3 linked regions of the Saccharomyces cerevisiae S288C genome follow. The gene in region 1 interacts genetically with each later gene. Each region holds a gene or a part of one and is shown on either strand. Other genes may lie near its edges.

Region 1 (5,991 bases):
TAATCTCGACCATTCTAGTACACTCTGGATGCGGCCCTAGATGACAAATTTTGGAACAACCATGCATACAAGTAGAAGCATTGCAGGTTTGTCCACATGAGTTAGGATCCAGCGGATTCGGATCAGGATTAACAACTTTACCGCACCAACATGTGGGCCGATTTTTTACCGGAACTCTTTTGCTAACATAATAGCAGTTTGGACATTTCCATATTCTATCTACGGTTTTTTCCGTTGATTTTAACGCCCATTCTCTTATGCATCCGTAATCAAACACTCTATAACATCTCTTGCAAGCAAACATTTGGCACGTATAATCCATCTCTACTGTACAAATCATACAAACATATGAGTCACCGCTAGAAATTTCCTGGATCGCACGTTCGTAATATTGCATATCATCATCACTTTCCTCTTCATACGAACTAGGCTGCTCGTTGGCGTCTTCAACACTCGAAATACACCCATCGCTTAGGTTGTGATGTCTATAAGTGTCACCGCCGTCTTGATTTTGCTCCAGGCCTAAAGACTCATGTTCGGTCATTTGTAATGCCTACGACTGCAAATAGATTAGAGCAGTCTCGTCTCACGCTGTTTCACTTGGTTGTTGCCACTGTCGCAAGAAAGAACTTTTATATTTACGACCTTTTCACAGAGCTCATCGATAATTTTTATAATAGTATATTACCCGAAAATCTTCCTTTATGTGCGGGATGTATAGATTATTGAAATGTCTTTTCCGTAGTACTACAGCAAAAATGCAATAATACATATCAGATATACACATATATACATGAATGTTCTGAAAGTTTAATCTCTTTCAAAACAGACAGCAAAGAAACCAATACCACCGTCACTTTTTGGTAGTGCCCTGATACAACCCTCGGCAAGCTGTTGAGGGTCATAGGTGACTCCATCTCTAAAAACCTCTTCGAACTCTTCTACCTTGCCTCTTCTAGGCCAAGAAGGAATAACTTCTCTTTTTGGCGCTACTTTCCAACCCCATTCTCTAACTGACTTATCTAAAAGAAGGTCTATGACGACTCGTTCATTTTCTTCCGCATGAATGGAACATGTGCTGTATACTATTTTTTTAGCCGCTGGGAAACTCATTGCATGCTTTACCATCTGGAACTGAAATGAACTCAGCTTCGCTAACCTTGTCTGTAGTTCTTCCTTTGCTATAAACTCCTCTTGCTCATCCGGCACAATGCCACCATCGTCATCTTTATCATCAATTTTCCTTCTATTAAATGAGTCAAAAAACTTACGACCAAATATACCGCTACCGGAGCAGCTCGGATCTACAATAAAACAAGTAACGTCCTTATATTTTTCAGGAGTAGCGAGCTTTGTAAAATCACCTACATTGACACTGATGTTGGGAGAACAGCCAGCTATCTTGATCATTTTTTGTAAAACTTTTGCTCTTTCAGGATCCTTCTCGAAAGCGTATATTCGAGTATTATTGTCCTTCGGTGGTTCGGGATATATATAAGAGGCCGTATGGGTAGTCTTATTACCTGGAGCAGAGCAGGAATCTATCACAATATCACTTGGTCCTGGATTCAAAATGTGGGCTGGAAAACAAGAAGCACGATCTTGAATGATAATCTTCCCATGCTTATAAAGCTCATGTGCTGTAATTTTGTCAGACGGATGAATTCCAAACAAGTTTGGAATAAACTCATCATAATAGATAGACCCAGGAACTAGTTCAGACCATTTGTCTACCTTTAAAGTAAACTTCTTCCTCAATTCGGCTAACACCGGCTCAGTCTCACCATTTGGATGGCATTTTAATGGATTGATTCTAATCCATCTAACAGGAGGAAGGTCATTGGAAATATCCTCGCTTAATACCAACTCAGATAGCTCTCTTACTTTCAATTTGAGTTTCAATTTGACCATTTCGCTATGCAATGGGCTCTTAAACTTCAAAACATAATCTTTGATGGGGTGTTTGCCCATTTGAATTCTTTTCTGCTTAGACAACAGCAAATCATGGCAAAGCAATAACAAAGTTAGCCTTGAAAAGAGTGGTTTGCCCTTTTTCTTGGGTATATCTTCCAATATGTGTGCCTTTTTCATCACTTTCTCCAAATATGGTTTATATTTCCAACACGAATCGAGAACTGCATAAATATGTTTTGGATTACTTTTCAGCTTATATCTTTTACAGCTTTTCAGTACCAGCGTCTGCATAGAGCCGGAAATCCTTTCTTTTGCAGCCTCCTTCTCAATATCTTCTAGCACCCATGTTGCATCCCTGTAGAAATTCATGCTTTTTCGTAGCTAACTTCTCAGTGAAACACTTGGTGAAGAACCAGCTCTTCTCTTAACCTCATCGAATATTTTAGGCCAGTTTTTTTTTTCCTCACTTGCCATTTTCCCGCACCGTTTGGAAATCTCGAGGAAAATGCTTCTTTCCAAAAGTTTAATCAGGTCACTAATTAGGTAAATAGAGCTGGGAGGAAGCATATACAGTGTTTCGTCTGTGGAAGGAACTTTTATTTTTCTTAAATGTTTTAATTTTTAGTGACCTAATTCACATAACAAAATATTGAGAAAGGGAAAGTTGAGCACTGTAATACGCCGAACAGATTAAGCATGGATTCTGTAATGGTTAAGAAAGAAGTACTGGAAAATCCAGACCATGATTTAAAAAGAAAGCTAGAAGAGAACAAAGAAGAAGAGAATAGCCTCTCTACTACTTCTAAAAGTAAAAGGCAGGTTATTGTTCCCGTTTGCATGCCAAAAATCCATTATTCACCGCTGAAAACTGGTCTTTGCTATGACGTTAGAATGAGGTATCATGCAAAGATTTTCACATCGTACTTCGAGTACATTGATCCACATCCAGAGGACCCAAGAAGAATATATCGTATTTATAAAATACTAGCAGAGAATGGTCTGATTAACGACCCCACTTTAAGCGGCGTGGATGACCTTGGTGATTTAATGCTGAAGATACCTGTAAGAGCCGCAACCTCCGAAGAAATCTTGGAAGTTCATACAAAGGAACATTTAGAGTTTATTGAAAGCACAGAAAAAATGAGCCGAGAAGAGTTATTAAAAGAGACTGAAAAAGGTGATTCCGTATATTTCAATAATGATTCTTACGCGAGTGCTAGGCTGCCTTGTGGTGGCGCCATTGAAGCATGCAAGGCGGTTGTCGAGGGGCGTGTAAAAAACTCTCTAGCTGTCGTAAGACCACCTGGCCATCATGCAGAGCCTCAAGCTGCGGGTGGTTTTTGTCTCTTCAGTAATGTTGCTGTTGCTGCCAAGAATATCTTAAAGAACTACCCAGAAAGTGTAAGAAGGATAATGATTTTAGATTGGGATATTCATCATGGTAATGGCACACAAAAGTCATTCTATCAAGACGATCAGGTGCTATATGTGTCATTACACAGATTTGAAATGGGTAAATACTATCCTGGGACCATCCAAGGACAATATGATCAAACTGGTGAGGGTAAGGGTGAAGGATTCAATTGTAATATTACTTGGCCGGTCGGCGGTGTTGGTGATGCAGAATATATGTGGGCATTTGAACAGGTAGTTATGCCTATGGGGAGAGAATTCAAGCCTGACTTGGTGATTATTTCTTCAGGGTTTGATGCCGCGGATGGTGATACTATCGGACAATGTCATGTCACCCCAAGTTGTTATGGACACATGACACATATGTTAAAATCTCTAGCTAGAGGTAATCTTTGTGTAGTTTTGGAAGGTGGATATAACTTGGATGCGATTGCAAGAAGCGCTTTGAGTGTAGCAAAAGTACTAATAGGGGAGCCTCCTGATGAACTACCTGATCCATTAAGTGATCCCAAGCCTGAGGTCATAGAAATGATAGACAAAGTAATTCGGTTACAGTCCAAGTATTGGAACTGTTTTAGAAGGAGACATGCTAACTCCGGTTGTAATTTTAACGAACCTATTAACGACTCGATAATATCTAAAAATTTTCCTCTGCAGAAGGCTATTCGTCAACAACAGCAACACTATTTAAGCGACGAATTTAATTTCGTTACTTTACCGTTAGTAAGCATGGATTTACCAGATAATACAGTGCTATGTACTCCAAACATTTCCGAATCTAACACTATAATTATAGTCGTTCATGATACTTCTGATATCTGGGCAAAGAGAAATGTTATTTCAGGTACAATTGACTTATCCTCATCAGTTATCATTGATAATTCTCTAGACTTTATCAAATGGGGACTTGACAGGAAATACGGCATCATTGATGTAAATATACCTCTAACTCTGTTTGAACCTGACAATTACTCAGGAATGATTACATCCCAAGAAGTTCTAATATATTTATGGGATAACTACATCAAGTATTTTCCTTCTGTTGCCAAAATTGCTTTTATTGGAATAGGAGACTCATACTCAGGTATCGTACATCTGCTTGGTCACAGGGATACTAGGGCTGTTACTAAAACGGTAATTAATTTCTTGGGAGACAAGCAGTTAAAGCCACTAGTTCCTCTAGTAGATGAAACATTGAGTGAATGGTACTTCAAAAACTCACTTATATTTTCAAACAATAGCCACCAATGCTGGAAAGAAAATGAAAGCAGAAAACCAAGAAAAAAATTCGGTAGAGTTTTGAGATGTGATACGGACGGGTTAAACAATATAATTGAAGAAAGATTTGAAGAGGCTACAGACTTTATACTGGATTCGTTTGAAGAATGGAGTGATGAAGAATGAGGAAAAACTGGCCATTAATAATTTTTTTTCGGCAACCTTCATGCCTTATGAAAGTTGAATAATAATAAAGTTGTTACAATGTTCATTGTATAATCCAATATATCTAAAATAGGAAAAAGAAATGAACAAATGCATTAAGCTGTGTTTTACTAAGTATTATGGGAAAACGTATACATTAAAGTGGATGCTTACATATATAACACATTGTAATAAAGGTTCTTTGAACATGTTACCAGCCTCTTCAGAGATCGATCCGGTTCTGTTGAGCCAAATACTCACTTATCCAAGGATAACTTTCGTCCCGCGAGGAGCAGTGGTTTTGGAGGAGGTTTAGGCTTTAAATGTGAAGGCTTAGGTGGTGGGGTAGGTTTTGTTTTTTTGTCTTTTGAAATCGGGCCACTTGATTTCAGCATTGTTGGCTTATCTATCTCCCCTTTCTCATGCAGCTTGACCTTGGACATTTTCCTAGCGTTGAATGACTCCTCAGAAGAGTTGAGTTTATCGATCATACGCTGTTGAATGGAGTTCTTCAAATTCTGCTTAGATACGTCCAAATCTTCATAAGATGGTTTGTTAAGATCGTCTTTGGAATTATCAATCGTATTAACGAATGTCGACTTAAAAGGTGAATTTTCGTGTTTCAAATTTACCTTTGTAGACGTTGGGGTGAAGCTAGTGCCTGGTAGGCTTGATGAAGTAAGAGATTCCTTTACGGATTGGTTTTTTTTTATGTTACCGCGTGTGGAATAAGAACCTAGAGATCGAGTTTTCTTTAATTCATCTACGTCTCCAGAATAAGATTCATCTGAAGAGGAAGAAGAATCTTCGTACTGGGGTATTATGTTTTGTAGTGGAAAGTCTATTGAATTATTCTGCCTAAAAGTATGTGCTTCAGAGACAATTGCCTGCTTTAACTTGGTTGCGGAATTTGCCTTGAGTTCGTTGTCATTATTTGAAACACTACTCGCTAGCGGTTCAACAAGTGGAGGATCCAATGCGTGGTACATATTCTGTGATTTGTCAAAAAGTGGTTGAGAACCTTTGGCGGAATTACTGAAGCTAGCGTCATATGCTATTTGTGATGGTTTTCTATTAGGATGCATTTGTGCTGTTGTAGTATTATCAGCCATGCTGATTTGAAATGTAGCGTTCGGCATCGTATTTTCCATGGTTGTGGGAGAGTTCAAGCTTAGAATATTTTGTGTTGCCGAAAGCTGATGAAGTTCGGTCAAATTCAAATGGCTACTGGGCGCCTGAACC
Region 2 (4,132 bases), on another chromosome or scaffold:
ACCTCTACCACCACAAGTACCTCATCGTCGACTTCTACGACCGTAAGTGTCACATCATCAACATCTACCACCACAAGTACTACGTCGTCAACCCTCATTTCCACGAGCACATCATCATCATCATCATCAACTCCAACCACAACATCGTCAGCCCCCATTTCTACAAGCACGACGTCGTCAACTTCCACTTCAACAAGTACAACATCGCCAACTTCTTCTTCAGCACCTACAAGCTCGTCTAATACAACACCAACGAGCACAACGTTCACTACGACATCACCCAGTACAGCCCCTTCAAGCACTACGGTTACTTACACCAGTACCACAGCATCTCCAATAACGTCCACTATAACTTCTGTAAACCTGCAGACCTCCTTAAAGTATTCTGTGATAACAGTGACTTCAGTGCACACCATGGACACTAACATTTCGGAAATCACCTCGAGATATCTCACCATGAAAAAAGTAATAACGCAGATTTACTCTTCCACCCTCGGGGCTACTCCTACTTCTGCAGTGGCTACTACGTCTGCCAGCGTAGGTGGTAGAATAACAAACAATAACAATAGTAACACCACCAACAGCAATACACCAACTAACAAGTCTACAGAAAAGAAAGGGTACTGGGATTCGCCCGGGAAAATAGCCGCTACTTTCGTCGTGGTTGGAGTGGTATGTTTGGTAATTATATGCATACTAATATACTTAATACATCATTATAGAACAAGACCCGCTCGGAAGGCTCAAGATTTTGAGAATGAATATCAGAGTAAGTTTTACCAGTCCAAGTACCCAAATGAAGTTACCACTACCACGTTACACACGCCTTCACCATCTTCAAATTCAACTTTCTCGACCCCAAGATTAATATACACTGATGAAAAGGGACAAATTATGTCTGAATCACCATCCCCACGTCAATCTACGTATTCCTTGACTGCAGGCAGTCCACCAAATGACCCAAGCACGTTGGCAAGCCCATTTCACGATCCCATTCTTCCCAGAAGAACTTCTACTTTTCTTCATTCGCCCATTCAAAAGCAACACGAAAAAATGGAATCAAACGTTACTCTAGGTGAAGACACGGTACTGGTGGATCAGAGGCTAGACCCAAGTAAGATGCTTAACACTTTAGCAAATGACGATGCCACAAACCACTCTACCATTTCGTTATCAGACAACGTAGACTACTCCAGGAGGGTTCTGCGGCTAATGAACGAATAAAGACTGCAGCTCTTATACGTAATAAATATTCCACGAACGATAATACATACATAATTTTAATTCTGAACTTTGTTTTTTTCCTTCGAATGTTCTCAAAAGAATGCTTTACGACAATAACGCTGTTATCTTGTACATACTTTTCTCTGCCCAGTGACAGCAGGCACAATAATCTAAATACCGCGTTCGTGCGAGACATTCTCTGTGATTCACAGATTACGGCGCAGAAAATAAAATAGCCGTCCAGCTCGGAGTTTCTAAAATTACGTCCGAGATGACGGAGGCTTATAAAATCATTTCAGACGGGTGAGGGATGCCAATCTACGAGACAAAAGATAAAAAATTAAGACTCAATAATATAGAAAGGAACTAAATGTTTTCATAAGAGTCACCGTCTATAACCTTTTTTTTTTTTATTGGTCTGTTATCACTTCCACTGAGAAAGTAATATTGCTATTGCACAACACTTTTTGAACAAGTGCAAAGATAAAATACTGAAAACGGTAAAGTAGGTTTGTTTAAATTGACTTAAGATGGTGCCATTGGAAGATCTGCTTAATAAAGAAAATGGCACTGCCGCACCTCAACACAGCCGGGAGAGTATAGTAGAAAATGGGACAGACGTTTCTAACGTCACAAAGAAGGACGGGCTGCCCAGTCCTAACCTATCTAAAAGGTCTTCTGATTGTTCGAAGAGGCCTAGAATTAGGTGTACCACGGAAGCTATTGGCTTGAACGGTCAAGAAGATGAACGGATGTCACCAGGCAGCACTTCTTCATCATGCTTACCATATCATAGTACTTCACACTTGAACACTCCTCCATACGATCTATTGGGCGCTTCGGCAGTTTCACCCACCACATCATCTTCCTCTGACTCGTCCTCCTCCTCGCCATTGGCACAAGCGCATAACCCGGCAGGTGATGACGACGATGCGGATAATGACGGTGATTCTGAGGATATAACACTATATTGTAAATGGGACAACTGTGGTATGATTTTCAACCAACCAGAGCTGCTATATAATCATCTGTGTCATGACCATGTTGGCAGGAAGTCACATAAGAACCTACAATTGAATTGTCATTGGGGAGACTGTACCACGAAGACGGAGAAAAGGGACCATATCACCTCGCATTTGAGAGTTCACGTACCATTGAAACCGTTCGGTTGCTCTACGTGCTCCAAAAAGTTTAAACGTCCGCAAGATTTAAAAAAGCATTTGAAAATTCATCTGGAAAGTGGCGGTATTTTGAAAAGAAAGAGGGGACCCAAATGGGGCTCAAAAAGAACTTCTAAGAAAAACAAAAGTTGTGCAAGCGACGCAGTGTCGTCTTGTTCTGCATCTGTGCCTTCCGCTATAGCTGGTAGCTTTAAGTCACATTCTACTTCTCCACAGATATTACCCCCATTGCCCGTGGGTATATCTCAACATCTGCCTTCACAACAGCAGCAGCGGGCTATTTCCTTAAACCAACTATGCTCAGACGAGCTATCTCAGTATAAGCCGGTATATTCTCCACAATTGAGTGCCAGATTGCAAACGATCTTGCCGCCATTATACTACAATAACGGCAGCACGGTAAGCCAAGGTGCCAACAGTCGGAGCATGAATGTCTACGAGGACGGTTGTTCTAATAAGACCATAGCAAACGCCACCCAATTCTTCACCAAACTATCGAGAAATATGACAAATAACTACATTTTGCAACAAAGCGGTGGTAGTACTGAGTCCTCGTCATCATCTGGGCGCATCCCCGTAGCACAAACAAGCTATGTGCAGCCACCTAATGCTCCTTCATACCAATCCGTACAAGGTGGTAGCTCTATTTCGGCCACTGCAAATACAGCAACTTATGTGCCAGTACGGTTGGCCAAGTATCCAACTGGTCCTTCGCTTACTGAACATTTGCCACCTTTACATTCGAACACTGCCGGTGGTGTTTTCAACCGCCAATCACAGTATGCTATGCCACACTATCCATCTGTTCGTGCTGCGCCTAGCTATTCCTCCAGTGGCTGTTCTATATTACCGCCTCTACAATCAAAGATACCAATGTTACCATCGCGCCGTACAATGGCAGGTGGAACTTCATTGAAGCCTAACTGGGAATTTAGCCTGAACCAAAAAAGCTGTACTAATGATATTATCATGAGTAAGCTGGCGATTGAAGAAGTAGATGACGAAAGCGAGATAGAGGATGATTTCGTAGAGATGTTGGGTATAGTGAACATTATCAAGGACTACTTGTTGTGCTGTGTCATGGAAGATTTAGATGATGAAGAAAGTGAGGACAAAGATGAAGAAAACGCATTCTTGCAAGAATCTTTAGAAAAATTGAGTTTACAAAACCAAATGGGAACTAACTCAGTTCGCATCTTGACCAAGTATCCCAAAATTTTGGTATGATATGGATTGTCGGATATTTTATTCTTAGTTGTTTCTTTGCGGCTGTATAGTAAATGAATAAATCACACATGCCCTAGCGCGGCGTCGCGGATTAAACAAGGTAACAATGGTTAAAGGAAAAATTATTTGTTAAGGTGGGTATATTATAGATTGCTAATTGTAAAGTATTAATAGTTTATTAAGTATTAAACTAGAGTTCGCACATGCTTTTATTTTTTTGTTGCTTTTCTTCACGCTACCGCTTCTTGAGACTGTTGTTTGGTAGTACTGATATCTTGATCGGTTGATCCCGAGCTGCGATTACCCGTGGAGCAAACTTCTTGATCCTGCTGTAGCGTACCGTTTGCTAAGCCTTCATAGTAAAGTTCCTCGTGAAACTGGTTTCTCAACACAATGACGATGATGGCCACTGGAGTGCATACAAAGGCAATTACAACGGCATAAATCAACTTCATGACCTGCGGTAGTGGATAATCGTTGAAGTAGTAGTCGTGGGACCC
Region 3 (4,195 bases), on another chromosome or scaffold:
TCCTTTGACACTAAAATTCAAAAAACTCACTAGAAAGTTCACTAAAGCGCCTTAGCTGACTACAGCACAACCCAACCCCAAAAACTAGTGAACTACACACTAAGAGAATTTATGGTATTTCCATAATTGAAGTATATGTACGATGTATACAATGTAAACAAGAGAGTAATGAAGTGAAGATATGTACACCTAGAGCGAACCAATGATAATTTGTTTTCTTAATTAAGAAAAACCATTAAAACTGGATTAGATTTCAATAATGAAAAGCTAGGAACAAAAAAAATTGGTCTACTTCCAGCCATTTGCGCTTTATATAGACATATGGAGGCGTGATGTCTTAAGCATGGTAATCCGGAAGATCAGTTTATTGAATGATGGTTTTCTTATCCTGAAGGATCCTGCAAATGAAGTAAGTTCAAAGAATTGAAATGAAATCGCCTTTTATACCCTCGCCGCACCAAGGAGCGCGCTGTGAAAATTTTTCGCTTTATCTCTTAGGGCTCCTACTGTCGGTAGAGAAAAGTTGAGTATATTTAAAGCATGAGGTAACTTTTCTGCCCATTTTTACTTCTATTTCCATTTGAATTCAGAAAAGTGAAGCAAAATTACACCATGAGTTCCTATTAACGTCAGCCTCTTTTGTACTCATAATGTGGCTTCGGATGTTTGATGGGCGTTGCTTCAGTGCGTACGGCTCATGGTAGATTAATTATTAGAAAGATGTATCTCCAGCTGTTGATATTAGAGGGGGAAGCCTTTCTCTTTCACCTCGCCTTTTTAAACACCTGATACAGTTGGTCATGATTCGTTCTACATTTTAATTTCTTTATGTAACCACGTTGTATATTTTCAATCTGGAAAGTAACCTAAAAGAGTAAAAACTGTTTATTAAAAAAAATGTTATTCAAAATTTATACATAGTACACGTACAGCTGCCTGAAGAAAGCATGAGCGAATGACTTATGCTTCGTCGTCTTCGTCTTCACTTTCCAAAGCAGCAAATGCGTTGAAACCAAGAATTGGCTTGTCCGCAACAATATCTCTGGTATCAGCAGGTCTGTTGGAAGAAATATTTTTGTTATTTGGCTTGACTTTTAAAGTTTCTTGGGCAATGGTAGCAACTGGCACAGTAGAAGTTGGTGTGGTTTCTGTTTCTTCTTCATCATCTTCTCCACTACCCTTCTTCTTGGCTTCAAATGTGCACCAACCATCTGAATCGGTTGTAACCTTAGGCTTGTTGTGCTTAATCTTTGGTCTACCATGATGGTGGGAAGATCTTCTACGACCGAAATGACCAACATGATGACTGTTAAACTCTTCCTCTTTCAAGTGTTGCAATTGCTTAACTTTTTCAATGATGGCTCTAAATTCCACCGCATCGAAATTAACTTCCAAAGTTAAACTTGGCTTCAGTTGAAAAAGCTCATCGATAGTATACTTGATCATGTCGTGAAATTAAATAAAAGTTCTTAATCCTATATTCAGGTTACAGCTCAAATAATGTCTATCGCAATCGGTAGAATATGCTTTACGCCAAATACTTTTTCCAATTTTTCACTATTTTTCGTCCAGGAAAAGAGATATTCAAGCCTCGCTACTACCCGGCTTTATAATATAGCATAAGAAAAGGGACTATAAAGCCTTATTAAAACACTACTATACCCTTGCAGAGAGAGTATTATTATCTATGGAGATCCAGGCAGTGTGACATGAGTGAACTGCTTGCCATTCCACTTAAGCGAACTTTAGAAGTGGACTTTGCCACGGAGTTGTCAAAACTAATTGATACTACTTCCTTTCAAACGGCATCCTTTTTCCAATCAGACATACTCAAAGTTGTTGATGCAAGAAACAATGCGATTGCACCCGATATCTCAATCGACGGTCTTTCTGCACTGAAGGAATACTATGTAATATTGTTGCAATTAGAGAAAAAGTTTCCCAATAATCAAATAGAATTTACATGGTTTCAAACGCTATCACAAAAATCTCGTGGTACTAGTCAATACTCATTACAATGGGAAAAATTAACCATTATTTATAATATTGGTTGCATGTATTCACTGTTGGCTCTAAATAGCAACAATGATGCAGCCGAATCCCTCAAAACGTCATGTCTGTACTTCCAGAATGCCGCCGGATGCTTTAAACATGTTTTAGACCACCAAAAAAATCTTGAGACAATCCCAGTGGTAGATGACGCCACATTGAACGCTTTAACCTCCCTGATGCTAGCACAAGCGCAAGAATGCTTCTGGTTTAAAGCCGTGCAAGATAAACACAAGGACTCCTTAATCGCGAAGTTGTCACAACAGATCGTGGACTTCTACTGCGAGGCTATTAATGACGCCCAAAGGGGGAAACTTATTAGAAGTGATTGGATAAACCACTTAAAGGCTAAAAAGGCTTACTTTAGTGCGGTGACTTATTACAGAATAGCCTTATCTTTTAATGAGAAGAAGCAGTTCGGAAATGTTGTGAAAGCTCTGCAAATGGGATTGCAATTTATAAATGAATCAACACTATCTTCGCAAGCTAAGTTTAAAACTGTTGTCGAATCTTCTCTGAAAGAAGCCCAAAGAGACAATGAATTCATCTACTTACAAGAAGTTCCTTCGGAATTACCATCGATCAAACCAGCTCTCATGGTTAAACCATCTTCTTCAGCAACATTGTTGCCTTCTATTAAAAAGGATGAGACTTTATTCAAAGACCTAATCCCTATAGAAGTGATGGAATATTGCACAGCATACAATGAAAGGCAAGATGAATACGTTGAACAACGTGTTACCAATCCCCTTGCTTCCCTAAATAAACTATTGAAGGAGTCCTTGACTACTTTCCAAATACCACAAGGGCTTACAAAGGTGAGTGAAGCAGAACTGAGTCATTACCAGGCATCACTGAATAATCTTCTCATTAATAATAAAAATGTGCAGGTACAACTCGATAACATTGAGCAAATTTTAAATGAAGAAGCATTTACTGACAATCAGCTCCGACTAAAACACGGAACCTTAAATTGGACTTTACCCGAATCTTCAACTACTAACACAGCATATTATGAAAAACTAAAAAAGCTGAGAGGATACCTTGATGAAGGTAGTGCGATTGACAAACAAACAAATGAACTATTTCAAAGCATCGATAAAAATTTGATTGGATCAGAGATCAGGTTACCGGAATCTAATGATCCTCTAACGAATAAGATTAAGATGATCATACAGGAAAGAAATGATTATATTGATAGGACGAGGCGGAAATCTTCAGAATATAGAATACTTCCAAAGATCATTACATCGTATAAAAAAAATGGAACAGTCGACTTTGAACCCATTTTCATAGGCCATTTAAAATACTTTGACGAAGATTTAAGATACGTTAATAGTACAAAGGAAGAAAATATCAAACTTATTGAGGAAGTAAACCTAAGTAAGAAGAATAACCCCGGCAGAAGCGGGATTGAACCAAAGAAAATGGTAAGAATAGATCCCAGAGAGCTATATATTGAAGATCTGAGATATTCCTTCAAACTGCTTGATGAGGTGAAAGAAAATTTAAGTGCCGGCACAGCATTTTACGAAAATTTAATTACTTCTACCAGCAATCTGTACAATGAGGTACAGGAATATGATACAGCAAGAAGAGCAGAAAAAGCTAGGCTTGATAAGAGTTTGACATTTGAAGACCAATGATACCTGTCCTCATTCATCTATAAAGTATATTTTGAGCTTGTCATCCTCCCTTTCCATTATCAAAACCCAGCTTCACTTATGTAGATATATACACTCAGGATAAACTCCTTTTTCCTAATATTTTCATTCCACAGTCTCCTTCTTGTTTATTTTCCATTTTTCAAAATCAGCTTGACGAGTGTTTCTTTTCAAGTTGGATTTATGTCTTCTGCTACCCAAATGAATTTTCCAATATTTTTCGCCAATAGCTACAACGTTCTTACCATCTGCGTTACGACAGACGTTGCAAGTATAATGTGTCCAATCGTCCAATTTCTTCATCGTAGTTTCGCCTTTAGACAACAGCTCCTCTAGGGCTTTAGGTGCCCTTTCTTGCTTGATGGGTCGATTGCTAATAAAGTCATTGGAAATAGCTATCGCTCTTTGAGATGCATTCGTGTCCCATTGAGAAAGGTCAGTGGCATCCAGTAAGTATATATCGCCTTTGATGTCAGGTATCA

What was found. A genetic interaction does not mean that the proteins touch.
Region 2: mutations in HDA1 (region 1) and RIM101 together harm fitness more than expected from each alone (negative genetic interaction), as found in Saccharomyces cerevisiae (4 studies listed by BioGRID, with this or other methods).
Region 3: mutations in HDA1 (region 1) and RIM20 impair growth when combined (synthetic growth defect), as found in Saccharomyces cerevisiae (5 studies listed by BioGRID, with this or other methods).

The regions. Positions count from the first base shown.
Region 1 is NC_001146.8:590,617-596,607, forward strand, and holds HDA1 (histone deacetylase HDA1), read left to right. Parts: upstream 1-2,610; coding exon 2,611-4,731; downstream 4,732-5,991. Other genes in the region: FAP1 (Fap1p), read right to left, coding at 1-544; rRNA (cytosine-C5-)-methyltransferase RCM1, read right to left, coding at 811-2,283; serine/threonine protein kinase ARK1, read right to left, coding at 5,007-5,991. UniProt on the Saccharomyces cerevisiae protein: Responsible for the deacetylation of lysine residues on the N-terminal part of the core histones (H2A, H2B, H3 and H4).
Region 2 is NC_001140.6:49,357-53,488, forward strand, and holds RIM101 (alkaline-responsive transcriptional regulator RIM101), read left to right. Parts: upstream 1-1,754; coding exon 1,755-3,632; downstream 3,633-4,132. Other genes in the region: WSC4 (Wsc4p), read left to right, coding at 1-1,224; YHL026C (uncharacterized protein), read right to left, coding at 3,863-4,132. UniProt on the Saccharomyces cerevisiae protein: Transcription factor that mediates regulation of both acid- and alkaline-expressed genes in response to ambient pH.
Region 3 is NC_001147.6:838,584-842,778, reverse strand, and holds RIM20 (Rim20p), read left to right. Parts: upstream 1-1,709; coding exon 1,710-3,695; downstream 3,696-4,195. Other genes in the region: CAF20 (Caf20p), read right to left, coding at 961-1,446; MOD5 (tRNA dimethylallyltransferase), read right to left, coding at 3,819-4,195. UniProt on the Saccharomyces cerevisiae protein: Required for the proteolytic cleavage of the transcriptional repressor RIM101 in response to alkaline ambient pH, which is necessary for sporulation and invasive growth.